Stegostoma tigrinum: one gene and its partners. The main gene of each other region encodes a partner of the protein of the gene in region 3 in a complex. Links are inferred from orthologs where the notes say so. Each region holds a gene or a part of one and is shown on either strand. Other genes may lie near its edges.

Region 1 (7,978 bases), on a different chromosome or scaffold from region 3:
TTTTAGTTTCTGATTTCCAGCATCTATAGCTCTTTGGCCATTTTTAAAAAATAGGACAGGATCTGGCCAAGGTAAACTGAGAGCAGCAACTTGCAGGAAAAGCCACACCAGAGCAGTGGGAGACATTCAAAAGGACAATAGAGAGAGTGCTGGGCCAACATGTTCCTCTAAAGGGAAAGGTGGAACCAACATACCAAGATGTCAAGGGAAATGCAGGATTGGATAAGGGGCAAAAAGGAAGATAATAGGAGACACCAAAGGCTCAAAACTGTAGATACCTTAGAGGAACATAGGAAGTGCTGGGGGTTGCTTATGAACAAAGAAAACCAAGTGTGAAGCTGGATGAACACAGTAGGCCAAGCAGCATCTCAAGAGCACAAAAGCTGACATTTCCGGCCTAGACCCTTCATCTCTGATGAAGGTCTAGACTCGAAACGTCAGCTTTTTGCTCCTGAGATGCTGCTTGGCCTGCTGTGTTCATCCAGCTTCACACTTTGTTATCTTGGATTCTTCAGCATCTGCAGTTCCCATTATCTCTGCTTATGAATGAAATTGAGTATGAAGGGAGGACATGAAAAAACTTTGATGGGTAACATTAATGAAAATCCAAAGGCCTTTTTTAAGCTTATTAGGGCAGTCAATGGACTAGGGATGTTGCGAGACTATTGATTCAGAGATCCAGAAAATGTTCTGGGTAAGACAAAACAAAGAACTGCAGATGCTAGAAATCAGAAACCAAAACCAGACATGGCAAGGAAAAACTCAGAACTGAACAAAGGTCTCTGGACTCTAAACGTTAACTCTGCTTTCTCTCCACAGATGCTGCTGGACCTGCTGAGATTTTCTAGCAATCTGTCTTTATGATCTAGGTATCCTGGTTTGAACCTGGCCATGGGAGACAGTAGAATTTAAGTTCAATAAAAGTCTGGAATTAAGAATCTAATGATAGCCATGAAAATATTATTGATTGTCAGATAAACCGATCTGGTTCACTAATATCCTTTAGGGAAGGAAGTCTACACGTGACTCCAGGCCCACAGCAACGTGGCTGACACTTTGGTGCCCTCTAAAATGGATTAGCAAGATACTCATTTGTATCAACCACAAGAAAGCAAAATAAAGGAATGAAAACAGACAGACCACTTGGCACTGACCTAGGCACCTGAAATTGCAATGGAAAAAAACAGCCCTGTTAGCCAGACAAAAGTCCTCCTTACTAACATCTGGGGGCCAGTGCCAAGATTGGGACAGTTATCTCATAGACCAGTCAAACAACAGCCTGACATAGTCATACTCATGGAATCATACCTGACAGAAAAATTCCCAGTCACCACCATTACCATCCCTGGATATGTCCTGTCCCACAAGCACAACAGACCCAGCAGAGGTGGCTGCACAGTGGCAGTCGGAAGGGAGTTGCCCTCATGAAGTCTTACGGCATCATGTCAAAAATGGGCAATTAAAACCTGAAACTGATTACCAGACAGCATCTTCTATCCACTGATGAATCAGTGCAGTTCAACATCGTATGGAGAAAAGCTGAGAGCAGCAAGTGCGCAGAATGTACTTTGGATGAGGGATTTTAATGTCCACAACTAAGATTGATCAAGCCCTAAAGGACATGGCTGCTAGACTGGGTCTACGTCAGGTGGTGAGGGAACTGACGAGGGAAAACCATTCTTGACCTCATCCTCACCGACCTGCCTGTTGCAGACATATCTATCCATGATTCCACAACCAACAGATCAGATCCAGATCTGCAGTCCTACCACATGTAAGCATTCATTGTATTGGACAATTAAACTATTCACTGAAGGAGGCATCACCACAAACATGCTCATTCTCAACGATGGTGGAGCCCAGTACATCAGTGCAAAGGATAAGGCAGAAGCATTTACAAAAACCTTCAGCCAGAAGTGTTGACGCAGGGGAGTGAGGGGAAGATTTTGGTTTTCAAGCATCTCAACTAGCTTTTAAATGGCGGAGGGGAACGTGTTCAGGAGGATTTGATTTATGTAGTAAAGGAGCTTTTGTGTCGTAAGAAAGACTGCATTTCTCAGCGGCCGGGATTTTAAGTGAGACTTGGTTTTAAATAGGGATTGGTTTCAAGGGGCAAGCTACTTTTTAAAGCGGGAGATTGTTTTTTTAAGAAAAAGGGACTTCTTGGGGTTTTGGGAATGGAAGGGGGTTCTAGGAAGAAACGTTTTTTTTAAAAAGGGGGAATTGAGGTTTGAAGGAGAACGAAGCTTTTTAAAGGAATGGGGTGTGGTGAAGTGAGGGAGTGAAGGGCGTTTATGGAGATAGCGAGTTCATGGGGTGGTAAAAGGTGTTCGCAAGGGGAGGAGGCTTACGGCGGGGGAATTGGGGATTTCATGGAAGAAGGGATTTTTAGAAAGCTTCAAAGGGGATTAATTTAAGGGAGCAGGAGGCGTCTTCGGGATGAAGGTTTTTTTAAGGGGATTGGACATTTTAAAGTGTCGTTGAAGATTTAAGGCGAAGTTGGTTTTGAAGTAGGATTGAATTTTTTGAGAGGGAAAGGTTTCAGACGGGGCAGATATTTTTGAAATGACGAAAGCAGCTTTTAAGTAGTTATAGGGAGAGATGGGAAGGAGAATTGATCTGGAGTTTCTGAGCATGAGGCGAGGAATGGAAGCAGACCGGGCTGCCTGCAATTCGGCGTCCTCCACTTCCGACTTTCTCCGTTCCGCAGACGGAGACTTACGACCATCGGCTGGGCAACCCGACAGGAAGCTCCGAGGCCGATGTCAAGGACAGGGAAAGCCGAACTTCCACCCGCCATCAGGATACAGTCCAGGGCCCAACAAACAATTGCATCCTCACCCTTTCCGATCCACTCCACTGGCATCTCTCACCTTTTTATAATTCTTCCCTAGCCACAGGCGCACATTATCAAACTGCGACACCGTATCTGAGGCCTCGAAATATTTCACATTCGGGCCTCCGTCCTTCTTCCGCACCGCCATTTTCAACCACAAATTCACTGAGAGAAGATAGGAGCAAAGAAGCAGCAGACAGCACCACCGCCTGGCCAGAGGTGCGCCTGCAGGAGCAGACAGCACCACCTTTTCTGATGGCCGAAACGTCAGCTTTTTGCTCCTGAGATGCTGCTTGGCCTGCTGTGTTCATCCAGCTTCACACTTTATTATCTTGAATTCACCAGCATCTGCAGTTCCCATTATCTCTGAGCACCACCGTCCTGTCGGGATATGTCTTGACATACCCATTTACCACCAGGTGATAGAGATCCCCAATGCTCCCTATGTAGGAGTCCTCTCTCTTTTCCCATTGGGGAGCTGGGGTGGAGGGTGTTGCACGCAGTAGACCAGTGCAATCACCAATTACAGTGGTTTATGGACTCCAAGCCCAACTGTTTGTTTTGTGGTAATAAAATGTGAGGCTGGATGAACACAGCAGGCCCAGCAGCATCTCAGGAGCACAAAAGCTGACATTTCGGGCCTAGACCCTTCATCAGAGAGGGGGATGGGGGGAGGGAACTGGAATAAATAGGGAGAGAGGGGGAGGTGGACCGAAGATGGAGAGAAAAGAAGATAGGTGGAGAGGACAGTATAGGTGGGGAAGTAGGGAGGGGATAGGTCAGTCCAGGGAAGACGGACAGGTCAAGGAGGTGGGATGAGGTTAGTAGGTAGGAAATGGAGGTGCGGCTTGGGGTGGGAGGAAGGGATGGGTGAGAGGAAGAACAGGTTAGGGAGGCAGAGACAGGTTGGACTGGTTTTGGGATGCAGTGGGTGGAGGGGAAAAGCTGGGCTGGTTGTGTGGTGCAGTGGGGGGAGGGGACGAACTGGGCTGGTTTAGGGATGCGGTGGGGGAAGGGGAGATTTTGAAACTGGTGAAATCCACATTGATGCCATTAGGCTGCAGGGTTCCCAAGCGGAATATGAGTTGCTGTTCCTGCAACCTTCGGGTGGCATCATTGTGGCACTGCAGGAGGCCCATGATGGACATGTCATCTAAAGAATGGGAGGGGGAAGTGGAAATGGTTTGCGACTGGGAGGTGCAGTTGTTTATTGCGAACTGAGCGGAGGTGTTCTGCAAAGCGGTCCCCAAGCCTCCGCTTGGTTTCCCCAATGTAGAGGAAGCCACACCGGGTACAGTGGATGCAGTATACCACATTGGCAGATGTGCAGGTGAACCTCTGCTTAATGTGGAATGCCATCTTGGGGCCTGGGATAGGCGTGAGGGAGGAGGTGTGGGGGCAAGTGTAGCATTTCCTGCGGTTGCAGGGGAAGGTGCCAGGTGTGGTGGGGTTGGAGGGCAGTGTGGAGTGAACAAGGGAGTCACGGAGAGAGTGGTCTCTCCGGAAAGCAGACAGGGGTGGGGATGGAAAAATGTCTTGGGTGGTGGGGTCGGATTATAGATGGCGGAAGTGTCGGAGGGTGATGCGTTGTATCCGGAGGTTGGTGGGGTGGTGTGTGAGAACGAGGAGGATCCTCTTTGGGCGGTTGTGGCGGGGGCGGGGTGTGAGGGATGTGTTGCGGGAGACGCGGTCAAGGGCGTTCTCGATCACTGACGGGGGAAAGTTGCAGTCCTAGAAGAACTTGGACATCTGGGATGTGCGGGAGTGGAATGTCTTATCGTGGGAGCAGATGCGGCGGAGGCGGAGGAATTGGGAATGGGGATGGAATTTTTGCAGGAGGGTGGGTGGGAGGAGGTGTATTCTAGGTAGCTGTGGGAGTCGGTGGGCTTGAAATAGACATCAGTTACAAGCTGGTTGCCTGAGATGGAGACTGAGAGGTCCAGGAAGGTGAGGGATGTGCTGGAGATGGCCCAGGTGAACTGAAGGTTGGGGTGGAAGGTGTTGGTGAAGTGGATGAACTGTTCGAGCTCCTCTGGGGAGCAAGAGGCGGCGCCGATACAGTCATCAATGTACCGGAGGAAGAGGTGGGGTTTGATCGAGAACACCCTTCACCGCGTCTCCCGCATTTCCCGCAACACATCCCTCACACCCCGCCCCCGCCACAACCACCCAAAGAGGATCCCCCTCGTTCTCACACACCACCCCACCAACGTCCGGATACAACGCATCATCCTCCGACACTTCCGCCATCTACAATCCGACCCCACCACCCAGGACATTTTTCCATCCCCACCCCTGTCTGCTTTCTGGAGAGACCGCTCTCTCCGTGACTCCCTTGTTTGCTCCACACTGCCCTCCAACCCCACTACACCTGGCACCTTCCCCTGCAACCGCAGGAAATGCTACACTTGCCCCCACACCTCCTCCCTCACGCCTATCCCAGGCCCCAAGATGGCATTCCACATTAAGCAGAGGTTCACCTGCACATCTGCCAATGTGGTATACTGCATCCACTGTATCCGGTGTGGCTTCCTCTACATTGGGGAAACCAAGCGGAGGCTTGTGGACCGCTTTGCAGAACACCTCCGCTCGGATCGCGACAAACAACTACACCTCCCAGTCGCAAACCATTTCCACTCCCCCTCCCATTCTTTAGATGACATGTCCATCATGGGCCTCCTGCAGTGCCACAATGATGCCACCCGAAGGTTGCAGGAACAGCAACTCATATTCCGCTTGGGAACCCTGCAGCCCAATGGTATCAATGTGGACTTCACCAGCTTCAAAATCTCCCCTTCCCACACCGCATCCCAAAACCAGCCCAGTTCGTCCCCTCCCCCCACTGCACCACACAACCAGTTCAGCTCTTCCCCTCCACCCACTGCATCCCAAAACCAATCCAACCTGTCTCTGCCTCCCTAACCTGTTCTTCCTCTCACCCATCCCTTCCTCCCACCCCAAGCCGCACCCCCATCTACCTACTAACCTCATCCCACCTCCTTGACCTGTCTGTCTTCCCTGGACTGACCTATCCCCTCCCTACCTCCCCACCTATACTCTCTCCACCTATCTTCTTTTCTCTCCATGTTCGGTCCGCCTCCCCCTCTCTCCCTATTTACTCCAGTTCCCTCTCCCCATCCCCCTCTCTGATGAAGGGTCTAGGCCCGAAACGTCAGCTTTTGTGCTCCTGAGATGCTGCTGGGCCTGCTGTGTTCATCCAGCCTCACATTTTATTATCTTGGATTCCCCGGCATCTGCAGTTCCCATTATCTCTGTTTGTTCTGTGGTGCTGTGGAGACTGTAGACCCTATGAATGTTGCTTGTGGGCATTTGCACTTTTTTTTAGTTAATCAAAAGACCTTATGCTCTGTTTTTGGTTGCACTTCAGCCCCATGCTCCTGATCTTCGGGCGCCCAGTGCACAGGGGTGCAGGCAGGTTGATGGATCGCCTCATTGTTCTGCTCCTGGGCCTTGCCAGGCTAGCTGTAAACAGGTTCAGGCAGCGGGGCGTGGAGCCGGTCATTTTAGCTCCCTCTCCATGGCTCTGTTTGAGCCTGGGCGTCCTTGGAGAGAGAGCAGGTGTTGTCTATCAATACTTTTGATTCCTTTAGGCAGAGATGGGCACCACGGGGGTTGCAGTGCTTTATTTTCCCCTCCAATTCTGTTTTGATTTGATGCCTCCCTTCCCCTTTACTCTTCCTTTCACACAGGCATTGCTGCTATTGGGGGTCGCTTGTTACTGGTTCCTTGGCTACATGGGTGTTTTACCTGGTGATGGAATATTGAATAAAACTATTTATATAACTGGTGTTTTCACTGAGTCCCTGTACAGCAGTTGCTACAGGTGGAATGTAAAGCAATAGTGTCGGGAGAGGAGGTTAAGAAAAGTTCCACTGCAAGTGGCAAGCAGGGCAGCAGTAGACGTCCATCTTGTGACCGTTGCCATCCAACACCTTAAACTGCGGTGCTCAAACCTGACATTGTGCACCACTTGGACGATACTCAGGTGGAATCCTGTCTATGTGTATGCCTGCCAGATGTGTATGGCCCCAAGATCCCATGCCCCACAACCTGAGCCACTGCCAAAATATTTGTCATATGCCCTCTAGAAGTGCAAAATGACAGGCTTTGTACAGACTGCTGCAGCACACCATCCACCTCTTCTCCTTCATCCACTGTCTAGGCGTGCCTATTTACCAAGTATTTGGGATCCCCAGTGGAGGGCGCTCTACATGGGATACTGCCCTCTTTTCTGTCGGGGATCTAGGGTGGAGGATGTTGCGAAGTTGGGTAGTGTATTTGTGGATTGGGAGGCAGGAAGTTACAATTTTGTGTTTGTAAATGCTGGGGGCGGGGTAGGGGAAGCATTGTCTGGTCCTTTAAAAGATGTGTTTTTCATGTGCTAAGAGGTTTAAAACGGATGCTGTGAGCAGCAGCTTGAAAGTTTGCAAGTGCACAGAGAGCACCTGAATTGAAACATTTGTATTGAAAGGCCGTACATTTAGCAGGCCAAGCAGTCAATTTTACTAAGGCAACAGGCTTTTGAATTTAGCCATCAATATGAACCAGGCACTTAGATACCAAAAACCAATTAAATTTAAATCTGATGGTTTTGACAACATAGAACTAATTCTATTGTAAGAAATATTGATATGTCATCAAGGGTATAAAAGAAAGAGACAGTTGAACAAAGCCACAGCTAGTTGCCATCCGCCAGAGCTAATGGCCCTCAGCTCTCAAGAGAGAATCGTTGGCTCTCACAGCCTGCTCTATGTTTTACAGGAAGCACCATCTAAACAACAGCTGTACCAACGGCACAACTAGTTAATATTCTTAATAGAGAATTGACAGAGAAAGCATTCCTGACAGACGAATCGATGGAGAAGGGACACAACATTCCAGAAGACATGTAACCTGACTGTAATTTCGACAGACTGAATTCTTTAGATGTAGTGGGCCTTTTATTTATTGGAACAGCATACCGTCAGAATCTTGCTGCATTCAGGAATGGGTAATAGAGGAGATTTATTCTGTTTGTTCATAGTTTAGTTAATTTGTTCACTGTTAGCGTTAGATATTTAAATTGTTACTTGTTGATTTTAGAGTGTGTGTCAGGGATTTATTTTATTTAACCACTATATA
Region 2 (7,413 bases), on a different chromosome or scaffold from region 3:
GAAGGGAGGGAGGAGGTGAAGGGGAACAGAGGGAAGAGGAATGGAGGGAGGAGGAATAGAGGGAGAGTAGAGGGAGGAGGGGAGGGGCAGTAGAGGGAGGGGGAGTAGGGGGAGGGGAGTAGAGGGAGGAAGGGAGGGGGGCTTGAGGGAGGAGGGGAGGGGGTTGAGTGGAGAGTGAGAGGTTTTGTGAGAAGAGGAAAGGGGAGAATAGGTGGACAGGTGAGGGGGAGGAGGTGAGGCTGAGGGGTGAAGAGGCTGGAATGGCTGGGGGAATGGGCTGGTGACAAAAGGAGGTTTGGGGGGTGTTTAGAGAGGAGAGGAGAGGGAGATAGAGGCGGGGAGGAGGGAGAAAAAGAAAGAAGGGTTGAGGGAGAAAGGGCAGAGGGAGGAGGGCAATAGTGGCAGAGGTGAAGTGGGACCAGGATCTTTGGGAAGTGGGGAGGAGGTATGCGGAGGCGGGGGATGGTAGTGTTTGGTGAAGTGTAGGGTATCCTTTCCCTGTGCATCCCAAAATTCCTGCAGAATCCAGACTAACTGCTGACCATTGAGCGTGAGCTCCTCGGTGCCTTTCTCCTCCAAAATAATTCAGAGAGAACTGTTCAGGGACTGGGACCGTTAGGAATCCTTACCATCTAATTGCGACTCATGGCGGGGTGGGTGGGGGGGAAGACAGCTAAAATATTCGAGGGGCACTGGCCCTTCAGCTGAAACGGACTGTTGGGGGGGGGGGGGGGAGCAGTGCTTAGTGTCACTGCTGTGAGACTGTGTTGTGTTCATCCAGTTGCTGCTGGTCTCCCCATCTGGTCCTGACCTCGTGCAAACGCCTCACTCTTTGACCCTCTCTTGTTAAAATTCAGTCCCTACCAATTCCGACACGTTCCTCCAGCAGCCCCCACCCCCTTCATGCTGACCCTGTCCAGGGCTGAATCCCTCCCCACCCCCAAGACCTAGCAATGTGAACCCGAGCACTGAATTACAGAAAGGATACAGTGCAGGAGGAGGACATTCGGCCCATCGTGTAGGGGCTGGCTCTCCAAAGGAGGTCCCACTCCCCCCACCTCCTCCCCGCAGCCCTGGGCGCAATCTCCTTCAGCGGGTACCCAGGTCTGTTTTGCCAGCTGAAGCTGCACATTCCAGACCCTAACCACTCACTGTGGGTAAACATTTCTCCTCTTGGCCCTACTCTCACAGGCCTTAAAACTGCATTGTGTGGCACTCAATCCTGACAACCCCCCAGGGGTAATGTTTCCACTCTGTGGGTTTGCATACTTGATTTGTTGCTCCCAGGCTATTCAACTAGGTGGGCATCAGAGGCCAAGCCAAACGAGGCTCACTCTTTGCCCATCTGTAAGCTGTACAAAACTCTGGTGCGGCCGCACTTGGAGTATTGCGTACAGTTCTGGTCACCGCATTATAAGAAGGATGTGGAAGCTTTGGAAAGGGTGCAGAGGAGATTTACTAGGATGTTGCCTGGTATGGAGGGAAGGTCTTACGAGGAAAGGCTGAGGGACTTGAGGCCGTTTTCATTAGAGAGAAGAAGGTTGAGAGGTGACTTAATTGAAACATATAAAATAATCAGAGGGTTAGATAGGGTGGATAGGGAGAGCCTTTTTCCTAGGATGGTGACGGCGAGCACAAGGGGGCATAGCTTTAAATTGAGGGGTGAAAGATATAGGACAGATGTCAGAGGTAGTTTCTTTACTCAGAGAGTAGTAAGGGAATGGAACGCTTTGCCTGCAACGGTAGTAGATTCGCCAACTTTAGGTACATTTAAGTCGTCATTGGATAAGCATATGGACGTACATGGAATAGTGTAGATTAGATGGGCTTGAGATCGGTACGACAGGTCGGCACAACATCGAGGGCCGAAGGGCCTGTACTGTGCTGTAATGTTCGATGTTCTATGTTCTATCTGAAGTCCGCAGTATTCCACTTCACTGCTGGGTTTGGTGACCATCAGTGTTCACAGTTACCCTCATCTTTCTGTGTGGTTGATGAACACGCACCAAGGATGGAAATGGGTGCCTGGTGGAGGTTGGGGAAGGGGGTGCAATGTGTTTTATATGCCCTCAGTGCTGTCAATCCCCCTCCTGCATCTTCAGAATTGCTGCAGGGAACCAAGAGAGGCTGACATTTGAAAAGAAAACACAACCCATTTCTCCCTAACCTTCAGAGAGGCATTTATCAGGCACACAAGGCAAAAAAATGAAAATAAATGACATTTCACTAAATCAAAAGTATGACAAAAATCTCGAGCTTTCAGATTTGGTTGCAAAACTGAAACAGGTATTCAACATAACAAAACAGCAAACGGAGATATTCTTTGATGGGGGTGGGGGGGGGGGTTGTTTTCTGTCGGCTCAACGTCTCGCCGCCCGCTCCACCGCCTTTAATTACCCTGCAGTCCCCAGCGTCTGCCCCCGGGCGGCGCTGGCGAGCCGCGGGTGGCTGCAGCCCTCCCCTTGCTCTCATTAAAGGCGAGCGGCTCGCTGCCGCTGAGCCCTGATCAGCCCATTAGCCAGCACTGTAAAGCACATATAACACTGGGCTACAATATACTCCACATGCCAGCAAGTCACCTTTAAGGTGAGGAGGCAACTGCATCCAAACAGTTTCCAGCTGAAATGGAAGGGGAATGGGGGGGGGCAAAAAAAAGAAAATTAAATAGAACAACATTGAAAAAAAATTAGAAATAATGCAACCTGCATAAGAAAAAAAAATGCAACACTAATAGAAGGGTGCAGAATATTATTGAGTGTAATGCACTTGGCATCTATTGCAAAACCTCTCCTGAATTGCATGCAAGTTTTTTTTTCATTTAAGAGGGCTGCCAAATGCAAGAAAGGTCTGGGGAAATTGCAAAAATGCAAGGCAGAAATTTTTGCAGATACTCACGATTTTAAAGGATTCTGAATGACTGTCGCCATTTTGATACAATAAAATACAGTAGGATCACAATTGTGGTTTTAACATTTCATTTGGACCATTCACAATATGGAACAGGGCTGCGGCCACGAAACAGCCAATCAGCAGCCCCCTGGTGCCTGGGGAGCGACGTCACCTGTGTGGAGAGGGGCGTGGCCGCGCCTGCGCCTCAGCTCCGGGGGCGAGATTGGGGGGAAATGGGGGGTAATCCCAGTGTCTGCTGGGAGTTGTAGTCCATCCCCCCACGCTATCCTCCACTATGGGGGGCAGTAATCTGTGCCGACTGGGAATTGTAGTCCTCTCCCCTCTTGTGTCCCCTTTTCCCTGGGGTGGCAATGCCCACTCACTACAAAGACAGAAACCTCAGGGATTTGATTGCATTGTAGAGGGCGAGAGGGTGCATAGGAGATTCACCTAGTCACAAAGAGAAGAAACCTCAGGGATTTGATTGCACTGTAGAGAAAGAGAGAAAGGGTGCATAAGAGATTCACCTAGTTACAAACAGAGAAACCTCAGGGATTTGATTGCACTGTAGAGAAAGGGAGAAAGGGTGCATAAGAGATTCACCTAGTTACAAACAGAGAAACCTCAGGGATTTGATTGCACTGTAGAGAAAGGGAGAAAGGGTGCATAAGAGATTCACCTAGTTACAAACAGAGAAACCTCAGGGATTTGATTGCACTGTAGAGAAAGGGAGAAAGGGTGCATAAGAGATTCACCTAGTTACAAACAGAGAAACCTCAGGGATTTGATTGCACTGTAGAGAAAGGGAGAAAGGGTGCATAAGAGATTCACCTAGTTACAAACAGAGAAACCTCAGGGATTTGATTGCATTGTAGAGAAAGAGAGAAAGGGTGCATAAGAGATTCACCTAGTTACAAACAGAGAAACCTCAGGGATTTGATTGCACTGTAGAGAAAGGGAGAAAGGGTGCATAAGAGATTCACCTAGTTACAAACAGAGAAACCTCAGGGATTTGATTGCACTGTAGAGAAAGGGAGAAAGGGTGCATAAGAGATTCACCTAGTTACAAACAGAGAAACCTCAGGGATTTGATTGCACTGTAGAGAAAGGGAGAAAGGGTGCATAAGAGATTCACCTAGTTACAAACAGAGAAACCTCAGGGATTTGATTGCACTGTAGAGAAAGGGAGAAAGGGTGCATAAGAGATTCACCTAGTTACAAACAGAGAAACCTCAGGGATCTGATTGCATTGTAGTGAGAGAGAGAGAGGGTGCATAGGCGATTCACCCAGTTACAAACACTGAAGCCTCAGGGATTTGACTGCACTGTACAGATAGAGAAAGGGTGCAGAGGAGATTCACCTAGTCACAAATAGAGAAGCCTCAGGGATTTGATTGCACTGTCGAGAGAGAGAAAGGGTGCAGAGGCGATTCACCTAGTTACAAACGGAGAAACCTCAGGGATTTTGGTGCACTGTAGAGAAAGAGAGAGAGTGCACAGAAGATTCACCTAGTCACAAAGAGAAAAACCTCAGGGATTTGTTTGCACTGTAGAGAAAGAGAAAGGGTGCAGAGGAGATTCACCTAGTCACAAAAAGAAAAACCTCAGGGATTTGATTGCACTGTAGAGAAAGGGAGAAAGGGTGCAGAGGAGATTCACCTAGTTACAAACAGACAAACCTCAGGGATTTTGTTGCACTGTAGAGAGAGAGAAAGGGTGCAGAGGAGATTCACCTAGTTACAAACAGACAAACCTCAGGGATTTTGTTGCACTGTAGAGAGAGAGAAAGGGTGCAGAGGAGATTAACTGGGATGTTCATGTGGTGCTGGAGTGATTCAGCTATGAAGAGAGAAGGGAGAGCTTAATTTCCCTATAGCGGAGCGGGTGGCTTGACAAGGGTGCACTGAAATCTGAACAGCATAGACAGGGAGAAACTTTCCCCCTAGTGGAGAGGTCTCTCACTGTGAGTCACAGTTTAAAGACAAGGAGCAGCACGTTCAGAGGGGATTTCAGGAAGATCTTTTTTACCCAGAGGTATCTAGAACTCACTGTCCAAAAGGGTGGTAAAGGCAGGAGCTCTTAGCATATTTTGGGGGAACTGTTTCGATGAGCACTTGAAGTGCCAAAGAGAGCTCACTCCACATGTGCAGTCCCTGCCACCCCCACTTTTGCAGAGTTTTATATCTTTAAATTTTCAAATGGGCGGTGTTGACGTTTGCAGAAAATTAACCACCAGAAGTTTCATTTGTTTTTCAATTTTGGCTGGATGTAATGGTCGGCGCATGTGATACAGGGGCAACTCGAGGTGGGGAGGAGAATTAAAGTCACTTGGTATGCGATGCTCTCACCAACACCGCCTCGTCAATGGAAGGGATGTGTTCAATCCCCTTTCCACCCCCTTCACCCCCCAGACTTGAGCACCTGTTCCAGGTTGATATTCCCGGTGGCTGCACTTTCAGAGATAACACAGTGTGGATCTGGAGGAACACAGCAGGTCGGGCAGCTGTTTCGGGTCAGGACCCTTCTTCAGAAATGGTTTTCTGAAATCTTCAGATTTCTGAAGGGTCCTGACCCAAAATGTCAACTTTCCTGCCCCTCTGATGCTGCCTGACCTGCTGTGTTCCTCCAGCTCCACACTGTGTTATCTCAGACTCCAGCATCGGCAGCTCTTACTATCTCTGAGTGAGCTACACTGTCAGAGCTGCTCCCACTGAGATGTTAAAATGTGAATTTCCTAACACTTTCTCAGCTATAGTAGGACCTGCAGTTGCTGGAGAATCTGCGATAACACGGTGTAGAGCTGGATGAACACAGCAGGCCAAGCAGCATCAGAGGAGCAGGAAGGCTGACGTTTCGGGCCTAGGCCCTTCTTCAGAAAATGAAGAAGGGTCTAGGCCCAAAACGTCAGCCTTCCTGCTCCTCTGATGCTGCTTGGCCTGCTGTGTTCCTCCAGCCCTACACTTTGTTGTCTCGGATTCTCCAGCATCTGCAGTTCCCATTATCTCATGTATTTCAACCTTTCTTTTCAATATCCCCCCCACAACCTATCAGCCACGATCTCATTGACTGGTGGGGCAGACTTGATGGGCTGAATGGCCTACCTCTGTGCTTACAATTTCTTGCTCACTGGTTGGCGCTGGCTGCTGTTCAATAAACACCCTGATTTGATCATTATCACTGGGTTTCCAGATCTCCTCCATGGCCTCCCTCTATCTCTGCCATCTCCTCCAGCCCCACTACCTCCAACCCTGGGAACCTAGAAGCCCTGCAGTGTGGAAGCAGGCCATTCAGCCCATCAAGTCCACAACCCACCTTCAGACACCACCCCACCACCCCAAACCCCTGTAACCCTACACATCCCTGGATACTATGGGCAATTTGGCAAGGCCCATCCACTCTAACCTGCACATCACCATAGAATCCCTGCAGCATGGAAACAGGCCACTCAGCCCTACAAGTACACACTGACCCTCTGAAGAGCTTCCCACCCATCCCCTACCCTTCCCCTGTGACCCTGCATTTCCCATGGCTAACACATCTAACCTACACATCCCTGGACACTATGGGGCAATTTAGCATGGCCAATCCACCCTAACCTGCACATCTTTGGACTGTGGGAGGAAGCCGGAGCACCTGGAGGAAACCCACGCAGACACGGGGAGAATGTGCAAACTCCACACAGACAGTCGCCCGAGGATGGAATCGAACCCGGGTCTCTGGCACTGTGAGGCAGCAGTGCTAACCACTGAGCCACCATGCCGCCATCAGAGATCTCTGCACCCACCAAATTCCAGCCTTTTGAGCATTCCCGATTTTAATCCTTCCATCTGAGGAAGGATGTACCGCAAACAGAGGTTCCCTGAGACTGATTCCTAGTATAATGGGGCTATCCAATGAAGAGGTATTGAGGATGATGTGAAGGTGCTGGTTGGACTGGGGTGGACAAGGTCAGAAATCAGACGACATCAGTTACGGTCCAAAAGGTTTATTTGAAATCGCAAGCTTTTTGAGCACTGCTCCTTTGTCAGGTGAAGTGAGAGGGAAGCAAACGTGACTTGATCGAGGTGTACAAAATGATCAGAAGTGTATGTAGAGTGGACAGCCAGAGACCTTTTCCTAAGGTGAGGGTAACTATTATGAGGGAACATAGTTTTAAAGGTAGATATAGGGGAGACATCAGAGGTAGGTTCTTCTTTACTCAGAGAGTGGTCGGGGCATGGAATGCATTGCCAGAGACGGTAGTAGAGTCGGCCTCATCAGGGGCATTTAAGCGGCTATTAGATAGGCAAATGGATAATAGTATAAGGTAGGGGTGGAGGTTAGATATACCTTAGGTTTAGGATAAAAGTTCAGCACATTGTAAGCCAAAGGGCCTGTACTGTTCTATGTTCTAGGCAGGGAGATCAAAAGATCACACACTAGTATGAGTGGAGTATCAGTAATAAACTCTGTAAGTGATCCGCAGTGTCAGATGGTGTGAGTAAAGTGTGAATAACAAGTGAAGGGATGACCTATAATCCAATT
Region 3 (7,814 bases):
AATGGTAAGATTCTTGGTCGTGTAGATGAGCAGAGAGATCTCAGTGTCCATGTACACAGATCCTTGAAAGTTGCCACCCAGGTTGACAGGGCTGTTAAGAAAGCATACAGTGTATTAGCTTTTATTAATAGAGGGATCGAGTTCCAGAACCATGAGGTTATGCTGCAGCTGTACAAAACTCTGGTGCGGCCGCATTTGGAGTATTGCGTACAGTTCTGGTCACCGCATTATAAGAAGGATGTGGAAGCTTTGGAAAGGGTGCAGAGGAGATTTACTGGGATGTTGCCTGGTATGGAGGGAAGGTCTTACGAGAAAAGTCTGAAGGACTTGAGGCTGTTTTCGTTAGAGAGAAGAAGGTTGACTTAATTGAGACACATAAGATAGTCAGAGGGTTAGATAGGGTGGATAGGGAGAGCCTTTTTCCTAGGATGGTGAAGGCGAGCACGAGGGGGCATAGCTTTAAATTGAGGGGTGAAAGGTATAGGACAGATGTCAGAGGTAGTTTCTTTACTCAGAGAGTAGTAAGGGAATAGAACGCTTTGCCTGCAACGGTAGTAGATTCGCCAACTTTAAGTACATTTAATTTGTCATTGGACAAGCATATCGACGTACATGGAATAGTGTAGGTTAGATGGGCTTCAGATTGGTATGGCAGGTCGGCACAACATCGAGGGCCGAAGGGCCTGTACTGTGCTGTAATGTTCTATGTTCTAATACCAACAGGGCTGGGTAGGGTGGACGTGGAAAACATGTCTCCACCAGTTATAACCTGAGGGCACAGTTTGAAAGTGAAGGAACAACCTTTTAGAATCGAAATGAGGGGGAATTTCTTCAGCCAGTAGGTAATTAATCTGTGGAAATCATTGAGCAGAAGGCTGTCATTCAGAGTATTTAAAACAGAGATACCTGGGTTCTCAGGTAACAAGGTGTGGGGCTGGACGAACACAGCAGGCCAAGCAACATCTTAGGAACAGAAAAGCTGACGTTTCGGGCCTAGACCCTTCATCAGAAACTCTAGTTGGCTGTCTCCCTTAAAGGGTACCTTTTGTTTGTTGTACCTGGTACAGTAGTCCATGTGCTGTAGATAGACCCATAATGCCTTTGGATTTTGACCCAGCGATAGTGATGGAATAAGTCAGAATGGTGAGTGGCTCAGAGGGGAACTTGTAGATGGTGTTCCCACATATCTGTTGTCCTCGTCCTTCTGTTCGTGGGTTTGGAAGGTGCTGTTTAAGGATCTTTGGTGAATTTCTGCAGTGCATCTTGTGGATGGTATACACTGCTGTGACTGAGCATCGGTGATGGACAGAATGAATATTTGTGGATGTGGAGCCAGTTGGGCAGGGTGCTTTGTCCTGGATGGTGTCAAGCTGCTTGAGTGTTGTTGGAGCTGTTCTCATTCAGCCAAGTAGGTAGTATTCCATCACACACCTGACCTGTGCCTTGTAGATGGTGGACTGACTTTGGGGAGTCTGGAGTTGAGTTACTTGCTGCGGAATTCTTAGCCCCTAACCTGCACTTGTAGGCTTGTATTTATATGATGAGTCCAGTTCAGATTGTTGATAATTGGGAATTCAGTGACAGTAATGTCATTGAATGTCAAGGTGATGGTTAGATTGTCTGTTATTTCCTGGCATTTATGTGGGGTGAAAGTTAGTTGCCACTTGTCAGACCAAGCTTAAATATTGGGTAGATCTTGCATTTGGACAAGGACTGCTTCAGTATCTGAGTAGTCTCAAATGGTTTAGAACATTGTGTAAACATCAGTGAATTTCTGATCTGATGATAGACAGAAGGTTATTGATGAAGTAGCTCAAGATGATTGCGCCTCGGACACTACTCTGAGGCCCTCCTGCACAGATGGCCTGGAGCTGAGATAACTGACCGTCAATAGCCATAGGATCCCTACAGTGTGGAAACAGGCCATTCGGCCCAACAAGTCAACACCGCCCCACCGAAGAGCATCCCACTTTGACCCAATCCCCTGATTTCCCAAGTCTAACCCACCTAATCTAAACATCTATGGGGACTATTGGCAATTTAACATGGCCAATCCACCTACTCTGCACATCTTTGGACTGTGAGAGGAAACCAGAGCACCCAGAGGAAACCCACGCAGACAGAGGGAGAATGTGCAAACTCCACATAGGCAGGTGCCCAAGGCTGGAATCAAACTTGGGTCCCTGGCGCTGTGAGGCAGCAGTGCTAACCACTAAGCCACCATGCTGCCCATAGAGGCCCAGGTATGAATCCAGACAGCAAGTGATTCCAGTTGACTCAGGTCTTTCTAGGGCTCCTTGATATTACACTTAGGCAAATGTGATCTTGATGTTAAGGGCTGTCACTCTCACGTCACCTCTAGAATTCAGCTCTTCCGTCCATGTTCGCATCTAGGCTGTAATGAGGTCCAGAGTTGAGTGGTCCTGGCGCAACCCAAACCGGGTGTCAACGAGCAGGTTATTGCAGAGCAGGTGCTGCTTGAAAGCGCCGTTGAAGGCACCTTCCATCACTTTACTGATGATCGAGAGTACTGATGGGGCAGTAATTGGCCAAGTTTGATTTGTCCTGCTTTTCGTACACCGTACATACCCGGACAACTTTCCACATTGTCAAGTCGCTATCAGTGTTGTAGACAAACTGGATCAGCTTGACTATGGGTGTGATAAGTTCACACTTCCTCTACATGGTGTTTAACTTGGAGGAATACTGATGCATCAGCTCAGGGTGGGGCCACTGGATGGTAATCAGCAGGTTTCCTTGCCCATATGTGGCCCGATGCCATTGGACTCCACAGGCTCTAGAATCAATGCTGAAGACTCACAAGGCAACTCCCCCCTGACAATGTATGGTTCTGTGGGATGACCCAGAACATAGTGTATCTGGGAAACTGTGCAAGTTATGATTGCACGACTGTGACTCTGTGAATTTTGTCATGTTTGTGAGACAGCTCTCCTAATTTTGGTACCATCCTTCGGTGTTGGTAAGCAGGACTTTGCAGATTTGACAGGCTTACTTTAGCTGTTGTTGTTTCCTGTGCTCAGGTCAATGTTAGATGATCCACCTAGTTTCATTCCCTGTGTGTTGCACTTTAGTGTTTGATACAACTGAATGGCTTTTGTGGCCAGTTGGAGGACAGTTATTCATTCATTCTCAGGCTGTGACTGGACAAAAATTTACACTCTATTGCTGTGGGTCTCCAGTTGTAGATTACCCAGGCTAGGTAAGGGAGGCATATTACCAAGCCTAAAAGGGCATTAATGAACCAGATGGATTTCTAAACAATAATGTCCACCAGACTAGCTTTTACAAGAAAAATCTAGGTTATATTGAATTCAAATATCACCATCTGCTGTGGTGGTATTCAAATCTTGACATTAGCCTGGGGATTTTGAAATATGCGTTCATCTTTGGCTCAGTGGTTAGCACTGCTGCCTCTAGGTGTCAGAGACCCGAGTTCAATTCTACCCTCAGGTGACTGTCTGTGTGGAGTTTGCACATTCTCCTCGTGTCTGCGTGGGTTTCCTCCAGGTGCTCCAGTTTCCTCCCACAGTCCAAAGACGTGCAGGCTAGGTGGATTGGTTATACTAAATTGCCCATAGTGTTCAGAGATTTATAGATTAGGTGAATGGATCTGGGTGGGATGCTCTGCAGGTCCGTGTGGGGCTTGCTGTGTCAAAGGGTTTGTTTCCACACTGTAGGGATTCTCTGATTCTTTATTTCCACAGTTCTGTTACGTCTCCAGTTAAGAGTCCATCACATTGCTTTAGATATACGTGACTGGAAAGAATAGTAGTTATTCTACCCAAAAAAACACATGCAAACTAGATGGATTTTCCCAACAAAGGCTACATGGTCGTCATCAGACTTTCAGTTAGAGATTTTGTTTTTAATTTTGAATATGAGTTCCTGGGACACTAAAATGAAAGCAAAATCCTTAAGTAGTCACACCAGAATCGAGACGTTATCGCCTGTTTTTCTCTGCACAGCTTGACCTGCTGAGCCCCTCAAGCAGTTTTAACTTTTATCCCTGGGACCTTGTGTCCCCGGATTACTCCACCAACAGCTCTGGCACTACATTATTGCCTCTCTGTTAATAATCTTGTGAATTAATTACCAACTAAATTGCAGATTTTATTAGTCACCAGCAACTGTACAAGGTGTAAATTGATTAGTGTTGGGTACGTTGATTGTGTTTCGATATTGTCCCTTACCTGTTAGATTTCAGTGACTATTTGACATGTTCCCAGTCCTGCAGCAAATTAAAATTAACATTTCTCAAGATAAGGAGATTTCTCAGTGAGACTGGGGACAAAATAAATCAGTCTTACAGAAACAATACAGCATATGCACTTTAGGTCAGACATGCATTCTATTTGAAGAACCACAGTAGATTTATTGTCTGTAGCAGCACATTCTTAGAAAAATGTTTTCCATTAAAAAGGAAATTATTAGCTTATAACACCTATACAAAGACTCAAAACAACTGATGTTGTAACTATATTACAACTGCGCTTATTTAATTTATAGAAGGGAACTTTATTTGGAGGCTCGAATGTACGGTTGCTACTCACACTGACATTTGGCCTTGGGTCGGCACAGTTGGAAAGAGGTTCGCAGATTCGGCGGAACTGTTTATTACTTTATAAAATTCTGCCAGGCCCAAGGTGGGAGTGTACTGGGGGAAGATCAAGTCCACCCGAGGCGGCGGGTATTCCCCGGGTGTCGGGAAATTTTCATCCGGCAGCCGTGGCCGGGTTTTGTTTGTGTGGAATGTGCGAGCTCGGCGCCCCCGGACAATAGGAACCCGCTCGCGCTCGGTCCGCGCGCTTCCCGCCCCCCGGCCCCGGGCTTGCGGATCCAGACCCTTCCCCCACCCCCCCCCCCCGGGTACCGGGCTCCGGTCACCGAACTACCCCACCCGACACAGGCCAGCTCCCGGCATCGAGCTCCCTCCCTCCTCGGCCAGGGACACCGACCGCCTCCCCGGGACCGCGGCTCCAGCGGGACACAGGACTCCCCGCCCTCTCCGTGAGTACAGCTTTGATCCCGGGGGGGGGGGATGAACGGGACATCATGAGGGATGAGCTGGGCTGGGGAGGCAGTGAAGGGAGAAGACGGGGGGGAGGGGGATCTCTCCGAGGGTTCACTTTGGGTGGGAAGTGTGGGTGCTGCAGGATGTTGTCATGGACAATATTCCGGAGCTGGGAGGGTGACTGACTCCCAATGAATTAAATCGGGGATAAAGGCTGTCTTGGTAACATTGAGGGGGATGGGTGGAGAGTGACCCAGTTGAAATATTTGGGACTATAAAATGTACGTAGACACACACACAAGATGTTTCTTCCGTAGGACAGTAGGACCAGGCTGTTATCATTCTAATAGTAGTTTAGGACAAAAACAGAAATTGTTGGAGAAGCTGAGCTGGTCAGGCAGAACCTGTTAGCAGAAAAAGTTAACGTTTCCAGTCCGATGATTCTTAATCATAACCTCAGTCGTTTGGGCTTGGCCAGCTCAGTTGAATGGACAGCTGGTTTGTGATGCAGAGTGACATGGACTCTCCTTTTCAACCTCACCCCTAACTTGAGGTGTGATAACCTTTAAGTTAAAGCACTTCTAATCATCTCTGTAATGAAAGAGTAGCCCCATGGTCCTTTGGGGCTATGATTGGTTGGGGACTCATTTCCACTTTACATCATTTTTTTTTCTCCACCATCGGCAACCTCTTTGTCTTTTGTTAGTCAAAAGTATAACAAGTGTTTAAAAAAATTCCAACATCTTTTTAACTCAAAAAATGTCCTAAACTCTCTTTTTTGTCTCCACAGATGCCACAACTGCTGAGTTTCTCCATATTTCTTTGCTATGTTGGCAGTATAAGACAGTCACTAATAAATCCATTTGAGAATTCAGGAAAAATGTCTGCCTGGGGAGTGGTGAGAATTCAGGACTTTGAAAAGCAACACCAACCTGTCATGAGCAATTAGTTCATCTAGGACCGACTATGGAATGAAAGCCTTTTACTTGTATAGTTCCTTTTAAAGTAAAAGGAATATCTCAGATTGTTTTATAGCCAGAGACAGTAGGAACTGCAGATGCTGGAGAATCTGAAACAACAAGGTGTAGAGCTGGATGAACACAGGTCTAGAGGAAGGGTTTAGGCCTGAAACGTCAGCTTTCCTGCTCCTCTGATGCTGCTTGGCCTGCTGTGTTCATCCAGCTCCACACCTTGTTTTATAACCAATCAGTTTATTATATATAGTATATATTTTTGCTATGCAATCACTGCTGTTATGTCAGTAGTATGGTGGCCAATTTGTACATGGCAAATTCCACAATCAGCAGTGTGATAATAGCCAGATTATCAGTTTTTGTTGTGTTGGCCAAATTGGGAATAACAGGGCAAAATTGGGATTATAGAATCAATAGATGTGAAGCTAGAAAAAGACAACACGCTGAGGAGCAGGAAAAAAAGTTTTGGGTCCAAATTGTATAACCTAGTGTCTCCTGACTTCTGATGTTGTCTGCTATAGGGGCGGCACGGTGGCTCAGTGGTTAACACTGCAGCCCCACAGCACCAGGGACCCAGGTTCGATTCCAACCTTGGGCGACTGTCTGTGTGGAGTTTGCACATTCTCCTCATGTCTACTTGGGTTTCTTCTGGGTGCTCCGGTTTCTTCCCGCAGTCCAAAGATGCGCAGGCTAGGTGGCTTGGCCGTGCTAAATTGCCCGTAGTGTTCAGGGGTGTGTGCATTTATAAGGAGGTGGATCTGGGTGGGATGCTTCAAAAGGGCGATGTGGACTTGTTGGGCCGAAGGGCCTGTTTCCACACTGTAGGGAATCTAGTCTAATCTACCTCAATCCAACACCAACACCTTCACATCCTCAGAATAGTGCCATTCACTTGGGAGAATAGATGAAGTCTTTGTTTAATGTTTCATTGGAGGGTACCTTTGCTGTTATAGTACCCCTCAATTAACCTTGCAGAAATCTCAGGAGTGGGATTTGAACACAGAATCTTCTTGCCCAAAGGGGAAGGTATTACCTGTTGAGCCATGGCTAATGTGTGGTGTCCATTGGTATTATTGTGGCTTTCTCAGCTTGAGGCAGAGTGTAGTGCAGGCAGAGCAATTTCCCAAATGTCTTTGCTGTTAAGGCAGAAGATTTTAAATGAAAATGCAGGCATTCTCCTTAATTTCTTGCTGAAGAAACATTAAATCTGATGAAAACATGGCTATTTTCTGTCAAATGTTTGTGTTCTTCCCTTTGTTCTGTTCTCATGGCACTGTAACTTGTCAAAGTTGAGGTACTTTTCTCTCCCCGAACATTTTTGCACTCTATCTATGTCTCTGTCCGTATCTCTATCTCTCTCTCATATCTCCTTGCTTCAGTGGCTAACTGCAAGTCTTGGCCTAGATCCTTGGATCCCTGAATTGGGATATGACTCATGACTTTGGAGTACGCGCTGAGTGTTGCTGAACAAAAAGACATGATCTTGAACTTTTCCATCTTAGACTTGGTCAGCACAGATGTAAGAATATTCCCAGATTTCAAAGGGAGCAATGTTTATACCACATGAGAAACAGAGTGCTGATTGGTTCACAGGTTAACTGACTGTTCAAGGCAATGCCATGAGGAGTACACCAGGGAACAGTGTCCCCAGACTCTTGTTTATTTGAATAGGTGCAGTGTCTGTACAAGTTAATTTTGCTTGCGGGGAGTCAAATATATATGGAGCTTCCAGCAAGTGTAAGTGAACCACATTGTGAGATACACTGATAATCTTAAATTGGTTGTTAGTGTAATTCTTTTCACGCTGG
Region 4 (7,097 bases), about 22 Mb from region 3:
TTCAGATCCCCTATGTCAACCTGCCCCTATAACACAGACCAAGATACAGCTCGCATTTCTAATCCCAGTCTCCCCTTACCTGTAATCCAGGTATCCTATTTTCCTCACCCACAATTCAAATGCTTTATATGTAAGACAGATCCCCATCCCTTGGCTTCATAATTGAGAGCCCCTTTTTGCCCTGTCTCTGTAATCTAGATCCCCAACATTCCATTGTCCCCATCATCCAGATCTCTCATCTCGCCTGTGTCTCTTGAATCATACAGTCCTAGATTCAGACAGCACAGAAACAGAGATAACAAAGTGTGAAGCTGGATAAACACAGCAGGCCAAGCAGCATCTTAGGAGCACAAAAGCTGACGTTTCGGGCCTAGACCCTTCACCTCTCTGATGAAGGGTATAGAGCTTTTGTGCTGCGTTCATCCAGCTTCACACTTTGTTATCTCAAATTCTCCAGCATCTGCAGTTCCCATTATCTCTGAGCACAGAAATAGATCCTTAGTCCTACTTGTCCACTCTGACCAAGTTTCCCAAACTAAATCAGCCTCACTTCAAAGAAGGCTCCCTAGGATGGGACTATTGTAGGGCCACTGGGAGGTGGGGAATCTGGATTGTAGAGATAAGCAGCATGTGGAGAACCTCAATTATAGAGAGAGGGGGTGTACGGGATCTAGAGGGACTGTCTAATGAGCAAAAGCTAAACAGGTTGGGACTCCAGCCCTTGCAGTTCATTAGAATGAGAGGTGCTCTCATTGAAGCTTACTGGATTTTAAGGGGCTTGACAGGGGAAATACTGGATGTGAGTTTGCTCGCTCAGCTGGAAGGTTAATTTTCAGACGTTTCGTCACCATTCTAGGTAACATCATCAGTGAGCCTCCGATGAAGCGCTGGTGTTATGTCCCGCTTTCTATTTATCTGTTTACCTAAACAAATAAATAGAAATAGATAAACAGATAAATAGAAAGCGGGACATAACACCAGCGCTTCATCGGAGGCTCACTGATGATGTTACCTAGAATGGTGATGAAACGTCTGAAAACTAACCTTCCAACTCAGCGAGCAAACTCACATCCAGAAACTCAACCTGAGCTACAAATGTTCTCAAAACTCGCTAGGGTAAATACTGACAGGATGTTATCTCTCACGGTAGAGTCCAGGATCAGCCTCAGAACAAAGGGGCACCAATTTAGAACGGAGATGAGGAGGAATTTGTCTCTCAATGGTGAGTGTGTCTTTGGAACTCCTTGCCACAGACAGCTGTGGGGTACAGTCCTTGTGTATATTTAAAGCTGGTGATCAGTCGGGGAATCAAGGGATACAGGGAAAACGCAGGAAAGCAGAGATGAAGAATTAAGTTTCAGCTATGATCCCACTGAAGGGTGTAGGAGGGGGTGAACAGCCTAATACAGTTCCTATTTCTTTCAGTTTTGCAATTCTAGTCGCCCTGTCTCTGTAATCCAGATACATCCCCACTTGTACAATTCAGTTCTCCTACATGTTTTTCCCCTGCAATTCAGAACCTTTACCCCAGCTTGTGTGCATAAACCAAACCCCCTAATACCCCTCTCTCTATAATCAAGGTTCCCCACATGCTCCTGCTCTCTACAATCCAGATGCCCCAAACTCCCAGTGGCCCTACAATAGGAGGCATGTGATGGCGCTCATGTGCCTCTCCTCTCTTACAGTGCTGACCACGTGTAAGACCATAGTCCGGGAGGCGGGAGGGTGGGTATTTTGCAGTGATCTTGGGGGGTGGGGGAAAGTAGGTAGGCTGCAGATTGAAGCGGAGACCCCGGGTTTCCGGGGTCAGGGGGATGAGGGTCCAAGCGCCGAATCTCCGCAATCGCGGAACAAGGTTTCTCGATGCGACACTGAATGCGGAAGTAATGCGAAACGGGAACAACAACACACACACAAAATAATTCAGCAGGGAGGATCGGGAGGGAGCTTTTAGGCCGAGTTTCACTGTAATTTCAACCAGCAAAACAAGAGGGCTAGGGTGTCTGCTTGGGGTCAGTTCCTTGCCAATTTGATAAACACCAGAGAAAAAAATAGCAACTAACTCTTTTATTCAACAAAAAGAGAGTCACCTTTAGAGCTATTTCATATCTCTTGCACGTGTCTAAACCACATGTTTTTTTAAAGAAAAACTACATTAAAAATTAATCTCATGTGGCGCCGCCACATCAAGTATTTAATTCTAAAGAAGTCAAGAAACATAATTACAGAAAAAGGGGGGGGAAAATCGATGACTAAATAAAACGGTGGTTTCCTTTCTGATTCTGGGGCCGGTTTCAGTGCTTTCCGATCGATCGGTGCAGATAAATAAGGGCAGAAGTTGGAAAGTTTTGCATTGCTGGTGAGCAGTGGGGTTTGGAGGCAATTACTCACGTTGTAAGCGCCGCCGGGACCCATCGTCCGGAAGACTGGAGATTGCTGCTGGAGGTTCAGTGGCATCCTGACCGCTTGTCCTGGCATCACCCCCAAGGAAGGATTCAGGGGGCTCCCTGGGTTCAAGGGGTACCCTCCGCCTACTCTTGTCGCCATTTTTTCAAAGTGTATACATAAACAGACACATGCATGTAATATATATATGTATATGTAGATATATGAAAACAAAAGACAATCTCACTCGGCGCTAACAACTCTTCCTCCAACAAAGATCCCAGCTGTCACTTGGTACAAGTCACTCCTCCAATTGGTTGCCACAAGCCTCCGCGGCTCAGGGAGAGAGGTCTCCGGTTTCACCCCACGGCTATTCCTTACCGGCTACGTTAACGCTTTCTTTTCAAAAAAAACAAGAAAGCACACACATAACATTTAACAACAGGCACAGAGGTGGCAATGTTTGGTGTCATCATTACCCATGAATCTGCTGGAGAGCTATAAGCCCCCACTCTGCTGGCACTGACACATTTTCTAAAGTGCCTCAAAACCAACAAAATGTCTAAAGATAAAGATCAGAGTGTTTTTCTCCCCCTCGCTACACTCTTGTTTGTTGAGAGCTACGCCTCCCGCCCACTTCTGTGGCTTTGGCAGATGGGTGGGGATTGCTCAAGCAGGTTAGCAGGGAACTCAATAGACCGCGCGCCCTCTACCTACTCAGTAGGAGCACTTCACCAGGCAAGTCTAAACATTGTGCTGTCTATAGCAAGCAGGAACTCAGCCTGCGCCAGGTAAAGTGCAGTCTTCAGTCAGCAGCACCTCTGTTAGAATGAACTCTTTGCCTGGCAAAACAGACAAATCCAACCCTCATTTTCTTAGTTATTTCTCGCACCTTGTTGACTCTTTTTAGAAAATACCTTTATTCACCCATGGGGTGTGGGCTTCATTGGCTGCGTCAGCGTTTATTGCTCATCCATATTTGCCCTGGAGAAGGTGGTGGTGAGCACTGTCCCCATTAAGTGGTCACAAATTTGCTCAGAGGCTCTGTGCACGCCAACTCGTACTGACTACCAAATCCAGAAGTTGGAAATTTACAGGTAATGTAGGTGGTGGTGAGCTGCCTTGAGCAGCTGCAGTCTGTTGGTACAAGGATGCTTACAATGCCATTAGTGAGGGAGTTCCCTGGATTTTGGCACTGAAGAAATAGCGATATATTTGCAAGTCAAGATGGTGTGTGGTTGGAGGGGAACTGGCAAATGGTGGTGTTCCCTGGGATCTGTCGTCCTTGCCCTTCTAGAGAGTTGCAGTCAAGGGTTTGGATGGTTCTCCCTAAGCAGCCTTGGTGAAGTACTGCAGTGCATCTTGTAACTGGTACACACTGCTTCCACTGAGCATTGTGGTTGAAGGACTGAACTTTGTAGATATGGTGCCAGTCAAGTGGGTTGTTTTGTTGATGGTGTCAAGCTTCTTGAATGTTTTTGGAGCTGCACTCATGGAGGCAAGTGGGGAGTGTGCCATCAGATCCTGAATTATGACTTGTAAATGCTGGATAGGCTTTGAGAAGTCAGGAAGTAAATTAATTGTAAGATTCAAGGCTTCTGATCTTCTCACAGTCACAGTATTTGTATCACTAGTCCTGTTCAGTTTCTGGTCAATGGTAACCCCCAGGAGGTTAGAATATCATTAGCATTTTACAAGGCATAATGATGTATTTAATAACAGAGGAAATCTTTACAAATACTGGTTATAGGACCTGAGGTTCCTTTATCCCAGTACTATGAACAGAAGTTCTAAAATGCCTTCTTCCTGAAAACCAGACACTTAGGAAGAAATGACTGACATTTGAAATGTACCTGTCATCACCTCAGGACATCTCAAAATGTTTTACAGAGTACTTTTGAATTGTAGCCACTCCCCAAACATGGCAGCCAATTTGTCTATGTAGCGATCACAAGCAACATGGAAATAAATAAGCAGGTATTTTGATTTTAAAAGATATTGGTTGAGGAATAAATGTTCAGAGTATCTAGTGACAGTCTATATTCAGCTACATCCACCTGACACTTTTGTACAGCGCTAGGGGGGTATTGCTCTCAACAGCCACCGTCATTCACACAAGGCCTTAAAACTCAGCTCTATCTGCTTTCACAGTGGGGTATAAAACATCACTTGGCATGATATTGAAAACAAGCAAGGATGCCTTCTTAGAGATAATGGGAACTGCAGATGCTGGAGAATCCGAGATAAAAAAGTGTGGGGCTGGACGAACACAGCAGGCCAAGCAACATCGTAGGAGGACAAAAGCTGATGTTTCAGGCCTAGACCCTTCATCAGAGTGGGGGATGGGGAGAGGGTTCTGAAATCAACAGGGAGAGATGGGGAGGCAGATCAAAGATAGATAGAGGAGAAGATAGATGGAGAGGAGACAGACAAGTTAAAGGGGTGGGGATGGAGCCTGTAGAGGTGAGTGTTGGTGGGGAGGTAGGGAGGGGATATGTCAGTCTGGGGAGGGCGGACAGGTCAAGGGGGTGGGATGATGTTAGTAGGTGGGAAATGGAGGTGTGGCTTGGAGGTGGGAGGAGGGGATAGTTGAGATGAAGAACAGGTTAGGGAGGTGGGGACGAGCTGGGCTGGTTTTGGGATGCAGTGGGGGGAGGGGATGAGCTGGGCTGGTTTTTGGAAGGGGAGATTTTGAAGCTTGTGAAATCCACAGTAAGGTGAGTGTAGGTGGGGAGGTAGGGAGGGGATATGTCAGTCTGGGGATGATGGACAGATCAAGGGGGTGGGATGAGGCTAGTAGGTGGGAAATGGAGGTGTGGCTTGGAGGTGGGAGGAGGGGATAGTTGAGATGAAGAACAGGTTAGGGAGGCGGGGATGAGCTGGGCTGGTTTTGGGATGCAGTGGGGGAAGGGGAGATTTTGAAGCTTGTGAAATCCACATTGATACATTGGGCTGCAGGGTCCCCAAGCAGAAGGTTGCATGAGTTGCTGTTCTGCAACCTTTGGGTGGCATCGTTGTGGCACTGCAGGAGGCCCAGGATGGACATGTTGTCTAAGGAATGGGAGGGGGAGTTGAAATGGTTCGCGACAGGGAGGTGCAGTTGTTTATTGCGAACCAAGCATTGGTGTTCTGTAAAGCCTCCAAGCCTCCGCTTGGTTTCCCCGAGGAAGCCACAACGGGTACAGCGGATGCTGTATACCACATTGGCAGATGTGCAGGTGAACATCTGCTTGATGTGGAAAGTCTTCTTGGGGCCTGGGATGTGGATGAGGGAGGAGGTGTAGTGGCAAGTGCATCCCCACCCCGTTAATTTGTCTGTCTCCTCTCCACCTATCTTCTCCTCTATCCACCTTCGATCCACCTCCCCCTCTCTCCCTATTTATTTCAGAACCCTCTCCCCATCCCCCTTTTCTTATGAAGGTTCTAGGCCCAAAACGTTAGCTTTTGTGCTCCTAAGATGCTGCTTGGCCTGCTGTGTTAATCCAGCTCCACACTTTGTTATCAAGGATGCCTTCTTCCCAGTCTGATGGGCTTTTACAATTGCATATTATTTGCTCAGATATCTTGCTAGGGCTCAAATTCCCAACTTTCTGACTCAGAAGTGAATAGACTAATAATGAGTCCCAGCTTATCTATGTAATCTGATGGTGAGAAACAGGAACTCTCTGCCTTGAAACAAATCAAGTTTGAAATACTGTCGTGGCAGTCAAATTTTAGTCATTGGTAGTTAAAAATTGTGACCCAATCTTAAAAAAGTCTATATGCTGAAATAAATGACTATATCCAATTTTATTTATTCCTAAGTCCATCCTTGGTATTTACTTAATGTTGAAAGTCCTGTGCAGTTGTTTGAAACTCACCAACTGTAGTCTGCCCAGACGACCAGCAAATCTAACATTTTTTGTTAATTATATTTTTACATTTTTATCAGGGACCATCAAATAACGCCCTTCTTTCATTTGCAAGCAAAGTTTGCTCACAAAGCAGGCAAATCTAATATTGCATGGTCATAAGGAACCCTCAAGACAGATTGATTCCCCATATTTAATGTGCAACACCAAAAGAAACTCTCAACTTGGCCTAAGCATGGAAATATGATTGATCTATTACATACTAGATCATAAAATTCTTGTGGATGAGAAAGCAGCCTGTTCAGAAAAGTGTTCCCATTGCAGCATTTAATTGTCTTTTTTCATCTATTGCTTTACCTGGACACATAACGGAATAAAATTTTCTGATATCAATTGTATAATTACCTTTTAACAGTTTGTATCTGTAAATTCTGAATTTCCCTAGAATTCAGATCCCTGACTTTTGGCTGAGCCTTGTGGTTCTAATGTGCAGTGCTTTCAGCATGTGAATGTTTTTTGTTGGGATCTTGGCAGCCACACCTAGATGCAGTTTTTAAGGTGTGGTGCGAAGTGTGTTTCAATCGCAACATTTTCTGATCTCCATTCTACAATTTTGGCTACGTAGCTCAACATTCTGATGGCATTGTTCATGACTCCTCAGCCTTGGAAATACTGTCAATTACATTTGCTGAGATGACTTGATCTCTTTCAGCTTCATCTTTAACTCTGCTAACACCAAACTTGGAATGCATGCAATGGATATTTTGCTTTCCAGTGATCAGCTCTTACACATGTCTGTATTGAATTTCATCTGCTATTGTTCTGCCCAGTGAATGCATTGTTTGTCATTCTGAATTTCAT

The links.
Region 1: smarce1 (region 3) and SWI/SNF complex subunit SMARCC2 share a complex: the UniProt entries of both Homo sapiens proteins name them as parts of the BAF complex. The link is inferred for Stegostoma tigrinum from reciprocal best matches to the Homo sapiens genes SMARCE1 and SMARCC2.
Region 2: smarce1 (region 3) and dpf1 share a complex: the UniProt entries of both Homo sapiens proteins name them as parts of the neuron-specific chromatin remodeling complex. The link is inferred for Stegostoma tigrinum from reciprocal best matches to the Homo sapiens genes SMARCE1 and DPF1.
Region 4: smarce1 (region 3) and SWI/SNF-related matrix-associated actin-dependent regulator of chromatin subfamily D member 2 share a complex: the UniProt entries of both Homo sapiens proteins name them as parts of the BAF complex. The link is inferred for Stegostoma tigrinum from reciprocal best matches to the Homo sapiens genes SMARCE1 and SMARCD2.

Annotation. Positions count from the first base shown.
Region 1 is NC_081404.1:1,307,388-1,315,365, reverse strand, and holds the start of SWI/SNF complex subunit SMARCC2, read right to left. Parts: upstream 3,011-7,978; 5' UTR 2,985-3,010; coding exon 2,874-2,984; intron 1-2,873. UniProt on the Homo sapiens protein: Involved in transcriptional activation and repression of select genes by chromatin remodeling (alteration of DNA-nucleosome topology).
Region 2 is NC_081392.1:15,780,261-15,787,673, reverse strand, and holds the start of dpf1 (zinc finger protein neuro-d4), read right to left. Parts: upstream 3,008-7,413; 5' UTR 2,928-3,007; coding exon 2,896-2,927; intron 1-2,895. UniProt on the Homo sapiens protein: May have an important role in developing neurons by participating in regulation of cell survival, possibly as a neurospecific transcription factor. Belongs to the neuron-specific chromatin remodeling complex (nBAF complex).
Region 3 is NC_081384.1:2,078,819-2,086,632, reverse strand, and holds the start of smarce1 (SWI/SNF-related matrix-associated actin-dependent regulator of chromatin subfamily E member 1), read left to right. Parts: upstream 1-4,801; 5' UTR 4,802-5,028; intron 5,029-7,814. UniProt on the Homo sapiens protein: Involved in transcriptional activation and repression of select genes by chromatin remodeling (alteration of DNA-nucleosome topology).
Region 4 is NC_081384.1:23,920,331-23,927,427, forward strand, and holds the start of SWI/SNF-related matrix-associated actin-dependent regulator of chromatin subfamily D member 2, read right to left. Parts: upstream 3,018-7,097; 5' UTR 2,548-3,017; coding exon 2,392-2,547; intron 1-2,391. UniProt on the Homo sapiens protein: Involved in transcriptional activation and repression of select genes by chromatin remodeling (alteration of DNA-nucleosome topology).